Solanum lycopersicum: one gene and its partner. The protein of the gene in region 1 binds, or shares a complex with, the protein of each later gene. Links are inferred from orthologs where the notes say so. Each region holds a gene or a part of one and is shown on either strand. Other genes may lie near its edges.

What was found. Proteins that work in one complex are often made in the same cells at the same time.
Region 2: mediator of RNA polymerase II transcription subunit 17 (region 1) and mediator of RNA polymerase II transcription subunit 32 share a complex: the UniProt entries of both Arabidopsis thaliana proteins name them as parts of the mediator complex. The link is inferred for Solanum lycopersicum from reciprocal best matches to the Arabidopsis thaliana genes AT5G20170 and MED32.

Annotation. Positions count from the first base shown.
Region 1 is NC_090811.1:1,517,950-1,520,654, forward strand, and holds the end of mediator of RNA polymerase II transcription subunit 17, read left to right. Parts: intron 1-88; coding exon 89-550; intron 551-633; coding exon 634-945; intron 946-1,683; coding exon 1,684-2,007; 3' UTR 2,008-2,185; downstream 2,186-2,705. UniProt on the Arabidopsis thaliana protein: Component of the Mediator complex, a coactivator involved in the regulated transcription of nearly all RNA polymerase II-dependent genes.
Region 2 is NC_090807.1:64,223,120-64,226,850, forward strand, and holds mediator of RNA polymerase II transcription subunit 32, read right to left. Parts: upstream 2,605-3,731; 5' UTR 2,459-2,604; intron 2,457-2,458; exon of another isoform or gene 2,328-2,456; intron 2,074-2,327; 5' UTR 2,031-2,073; coding exon 1,590-2,030; intron 1,044-1,589; exon of another isoform or gene 1,028-1,043; 3' UTR 661-1,027; downstream 1-660. UniProt on the Arabidopsis thaliana protein: Component of the Mediator complex, a coactivator involved in the regulated transcription of nearly all RNA polymerase II-dependent genes.

The DNA.
Region 1 (2,705 bases):
TTTCTCTTTTTAGTACCCTTTGAGTTTTTCTTATTCATTTTTGTGACCTACTTCTGTTTTCTGATTATTTTCTTGGTCCTTGTTGCAGGTGTTTGATTTGGTTAACCGTGAAGCATTTAATCCAGCTTTGGGTGCTGACGTGACAGGAATACAAGAAAACTTGTTACGTTTAAGTATAGGTCAAAGAGCTTCTCTGTCCATTTCACTTGTACCATCTGCTGACGATGGTCAGACAGCTAATGCTGTGGGTGATGAACATCCAGAAACTGCTATTGTGCCTTTTGAATCAGTTGATGCTTCAAAACAAGATGAAGGGAAACTTGACTTGAAAAAGTTGGGGTTTCCCAATCGAATTAGTTTTGAAATTTATTTGCAACAACTTTTTCATGAACATGTGTTTATAAAAGCCAAAAATAGATTATCATCTTTGGGCAAACCTGAAATATCTTCTCAACCTGTGAAAGATGGTCCCAACCTTTTGGGACATTTCTGCGTCTCTCTAGCTCATAGGATCTTCTCAAACAAAGTCCTCGCAGAGCTCGAAAGTCTGGTATGAACTTTTCTGTCTGGGTTTGTAAACTGCTAGCTAATGTAGCCATTATGTATCTGAAGAATTCCTTGTTTTGTCTGTAGGTTAGCAGGGTACCATATGTCCAATTAATATCGCATCCCACTTGGCATTCTCGAACATCATCATGGACGCTTTCCATGGATGTACCCGAGTCAATTCTCCATGCAGGAAGCCTGTCTCACTCATCTGACTATGTAAAGAATGTGAAATTTCACTTTCGTACAAAAGTCATGGTGCGTGATGATTGCATCAGTCTGGAAGGGGAAGGTGCTCCTAATATTGTTGGCCTCTTCAAAGGAAAGCCTGATAGTATTTGCCCTATGAACAGATATGATTGTGACTTGTCAGATCTTCCGATGGTTCTATTGCAGCAGGTCTGTGTCCTCATCCTCTTTACTATTGTGTTTTGATATGAAAATGGGTGACCATACTATGAAGAATCGTTCATTTTCTGGCCGGATAAACTTCTATTCATCCTAGAGCTGGTACTTCCTTAAAAAAGAAAGCCTATGATCCTAGACTTTTTTTATTTTTCCTGTGATTCAGTTGAACCATCCAAACTCTTTGAGTCTTTTTCTGTTGTATTGCGTGGGGTGATTTATGTGATACGAGTAGCATAGAAGGTTTTCAAACTGTTTGTGTTGCTGCCTAGGATAATTTGCTATCTTGTGGTCGGGGACCAAACTTCTGGTGGATAGCTGTGGTCATGATGGTGAGGGAGAATGTTGTTTTGTTACCATAGAAACAAATGTGAAGCCCCAGCCTCAGTCCTCACCCACCTCCAAATCACTGCTTTAGTTAGGCGCCTGTCACGAGTTTGAATCTTGTCGCAGAGTATAGAGGGGCAAACCTATTATCCTTTAGATTTCAAACCTTTTGCCAGTTGGCACTGGGGGATTGGGGAGACAAGGGAACATAATGTTCCGCACCATCATAGGGAATCTCAAAGCCCCAAGCTCCATTTTCTCAGTTATCACAGAAAGGGAAAAGCAAAAGCATCACATTTGTACCCTTCCTTTCGATAAACAAATCAATATACAATCTACGTTGGAAATCAATGTCACTTCCAATCTTGCAGCAACCTTATGTCAAGCTATTAATTTCTTCTTCAGGTTGCCAGCCAGGTGATACGATGGCTTCATGAAGAAGCCCTTATGGTTGGTATCAAAGCAAACCGGGATTTCTTATCCTTGTCATTTGAGCTAGAGCAAGGAGAAACACTCAGTCTCGTGGCACACGTAGACCCTGAAGATATTCAAGGATGTATTTCCTGGTGGTTGGTGATGGGCGATGGATTCTCTGAAGAAAACAAACTTCAAATGGACGTTAACAGTGGTGAATCCGAAACTAGGAAATTCTTAGGTTATTTATCTTTAGAAGTGTTATACTCAACCTTAATGGATATGGTTAGCGTTAGTAGTACTGCAGGCCATTGATTTGTCTCTACGTATCTGTATTTTTTTTTCTTCGTTTCTTCGAAGAATATTTATCTTGTACAAATTATGTAGCTGAGAATATCATACATCCAATAGCTCATAAGCTAAATCATTGTGGATTCAATTTTTTTTTAAAAAAGTAAATTGTTTGTTGGATTTATTCCATCATTTGGAGAAACTATAGGTTCTTGTGTATACACTTCTCCTCTAAGCAATGTCTATGTACATCTTAACATCTCCGAATTTAACTTGTACGATTTTTTAAAATTATACTGGGTATGTTATTGTTGTTGTTGTCCTACATTTCTTGGAAACCTACTTCATTGATACATTTGCAACTAAAAACAATATTTGTTGAGAAGAAATATTTTCAAAGTTTCTATTTTCAAGTAAAGTTTTTGTAGTTTAAATCATCAAAACATATAGAAAGAAACCTCTTATTTGTGGCTATGAAGAGTCGAGTGTGCATTTTAAATTATTAATTAGGTCACTTTAGTCTTGTCTTAATCCAAATTCATCATTCATTAAGACTTACCAATAAGAGATAAACCAAACAATTTGATCACAATAAATAACATAAACAATTTTTGACAAGACTAATAAACCACTAATAAGAGAAGCTTCATCAAACATGAACCCCACTAAAAAGGAAATATTTAACTTATACCCATTTGTAGTTATTATCATTATATTTATCC
Region 2 (3,731 bases), on another chromosome or scaffold:
TTGCTCATAGGATCAGTTATGACTTTTGAACATAAAGTGCTTGTGCTGTTCATGGTAACTACTCGCCTAGTTGTGCCATTGTTATCGCACATGCTCTCTTCACCACCCTGTATATCCAGATGAAAGCAACAAATTGTGTATATTTGCATGGAATTTATCTCAAAAGATGCTCTTAAGCATTGTATGTTGCCTCAAAACCCATTTCTTCTTGGGTCTGCATAAAATTAATGAAAAGAGCGTTGTTTTTTCTGATATATATAGCTTTATAGAGTAGCCTCTGCTTGTCATCCCTTCAGACGATTCTCAATAACCATCAGAACTTTTACATCATAGATCTCTCATTTACTAGTATTAGTTTGCGTTATTGGACAAAGACGTTTCCAAGTGCAGTGACAAGTGAGAACTTCTGTTTTCAAAGTTATTATACAGTACAACTAAATATTAGACTGAGATAAGGTTAAATGGAGCGACATGGATACTGAGCATTTGTGTAGCAATCAAGATGTAGTTGTAAGCTAAAGCGTATTTACTAATACTGCTACACTCAAAGCGTCATAATACTCTGTTGCAACAATTCCAGAGGTCTCCAAAGCCTACTGAATGAGTTCATCAGGGTTAACACAATTAACTAAAAAGCCACTTTACAAGATTGGAGATATATTTCCTAACAAAAATCGATTATAAACATAAATACTCGAGAATATAAGGTACACATAGCAGACACAAACATACAGCCTGTTTGTATATGTTGGTATGCTTAAGATCTAAATAAAGCTAACAGTGCAGTAGCTCATACTGCGATAAAAGTAAATCTCTGTGCCTAGAAAACACAAATGTAAATTTGCCAGATCTTCTCATAAGATGGCGAGGGAGGGAGGCGGTAAAGGTGGTTTACAAATATCATTCCAAAGTATTTCTTCTACATCGTTACAACATGACTTCATACATCAAACATCAACTTTAGCGGCTTACTAAGGCACATAAGATCTTCTGTTTCTCTCTGCTGATCACCAGACTCTGTAGTTACCTGAAAACAGTCACAACTAATAGTTCTTTGTTTTACAGCGATGAAAACAGAATAAAACGAAACCAATTTTTTTTTTCTAGTTTCCATTTGTCTGTCAGAAGTGTTGGGTCAAACTCAGCTTAATAAGTAAGGATAGTACATAATTGATCATAAAAAAAGAAGTTGGGTCAAACTTAGCTTAATAAGTAAGGATAGTATTCTTCATAAATAAAGTAAGGATAGTACATATAACATAATTGCTGCAGAAACTAGTGGTTACTCACAGTTATTCGTTCTGATGGAAGAGAACATATGATGCCACTAAAAAGCAGTTTTGTTAGCTTCTACTACTTTTCTATCAACCTGGAAATTTATACAAGACCAGCGGTTTTGTAATAGCAGCTCTTATATATGAATCAGTTTCAGTTCCAAGGGAATGTTCACTTATTTGCTTCATCATCAAGTCTAGGATACAAAGCCTATCACTAATAGTTCATTAAATAATACAAATTTGTTTCCAGATTATTTAACATAGTCAACGGAAACGACAAGGACAGGAAGTATCAGCGAGATTTCAGTATACCTATTGAGCTGCATCTTCAGAAAATCTGGCATCAAATGGAGCAGAAGGATTGGGATGTACTGCTGAAGCACTATTCGCTCCAGAACCATGTTGCAGTTCTATCACTAGCCATCTTACAGCTTTACTCATCTGCTCCAACCTAACAGCACTAATGGGTTGAAGGCCACTTGCAGCTGGTTGCCCAGGCTTCCCTGAAACAGTGCCTGTAGCCTCATCCACAAGACACTCGGAGCCAATTCTTTGCTTAACCGATTCCACAAACTCCTCCGCCTGATCACACGCAACCCTGAACAACTCCCACTTTTGCTTAAAGTTTTCTAATGCAGCATCAGTTGCTGCTGTTTTCTGACCATTAGAACTCTCCTTTGATTCAAGTACAACAGCTGATGCTGCAACAAAGTCTTGATATGCACTGCTCAGTGCATCTACGAGATTATCCATCACAACCCCTCGAAGCCCTAATTGATCACTAACCTCCGTAAATCTATAAAGGAGAGAATAAATTAGCAAGAACATCATTAAAAATTTAATCTTTGTATCAAGACCATCATTAAAAATTGAATCTTTATAGCAACAACATCATTAAAATTGAATCTTTAGCAAGACCATCACTAAAAATTGAATCTTTGTAGTAATTTCATCATTAAAAATTGAATCTTTGTACAACAATTAAAGAGCTATTATGCTATCAAATTCTGCATACAAAAACAAACCCAAGAAACAATTTTCTATGATTACCCAAAACACTCAAAAGCAAGAAATCAACTGAAACAAAATTGATGCAATACACAAATTTCTTGAAAATACTCAAATAAATTTAAGCAAATGAAAAGAAGAAAAACCACAAAGACTAGGGTTTTTCTACTTACTTGACTGAAGGAAGAAAATGGCTTCCACAATCTTCTCCTCTGTCTTTTTTTGGTTTTTTTCTCTTCTCCCCTCACTCTGTTTCGAAATAATTACATATTCCTCCCCAATAGTTTTCATTTGTAACACAAAGCTTCCCTTTAGTTTCAAAATTAATATTTTAGAGTGTAAGATTTTTAAAATATATTTGAATAAAATCATAATTGAGTAATAATTGTTTGAGTTTCTAATAATTATTTATATATATACGAGTGCTATTTTATTGGACTAAAGGAGTAGTATTATTTATGTATCTTAATTTTTATTTTATTTGTATTTTCATCATTAGTATTATATATTAAGTGTTCTATGTACATTAAAATGAGACATATATTTTTTTTCATTTGTTAGTGTTATATATTATTGATGAGTAATTATATTATATGTGATGAATAAAATTAATTTTACATTAATGTTTAAATTAAATATTTTGTTTAATTGCTCAAACTTGTCAAATTCATCGGTGACCTCCTAAACTTGCTATCGATTTTCACTTAGAACACCTAAATTAGGCGATGTTCATTTTAGACACCTCGTGTAGGGTTCTGTTGTGTCATTTTGGCACTTTTTGCTGACATGTCAAAGTGAGTGTGATACACTTAACAATAGCGCGTGAAAGACTTAATTTAGCCATTTTTAATTTTATTTTATCTTCTTCTTCTCCAAGCCACCACCCCCTTTTTTTTCGAATTTAAATTCCTTCAATGGAGGTCAAATTTTTTATTCAAATTCGTTGTTAAGTCATTTTCTTCTTCATCATTGTATTACTTATCTAAGTCTATCTTCACCTCACTCTATTTTTTGCCGGAAAAATGGATACCAACACCCATATTTCATGTTTATTCTCTCCCTCCTTTCTTTTTTTAAAGAAAAACAATACTAAAAAGAAGAATAAATATGAAAAATAGTAAAAGAAAATAATATTTTTTTGTAAAGCACAAAAGAGATTTGAGTGTAATGAAATAAGAAATTTTCGTAGAATAATATTTTAAATTTTTTTACTAAATAGATTTTATAATTATTTTTAACTGAAAATAATACATGTAATTATTTAATTGATTGTTTGCCACGTCATCAACGAGTGTATTACACATTTACACTCTCCTTTAGTTTTTTATTTATTGTCAGAAAAGTATCAAAATGACACAGTTGAACCTTACATGGGGTGTTTAAAATGAACATCGCCTGATTGAGGTATCTAAGTGAAAATTGGTGCCAAGTTTAGGGGCCATCGAT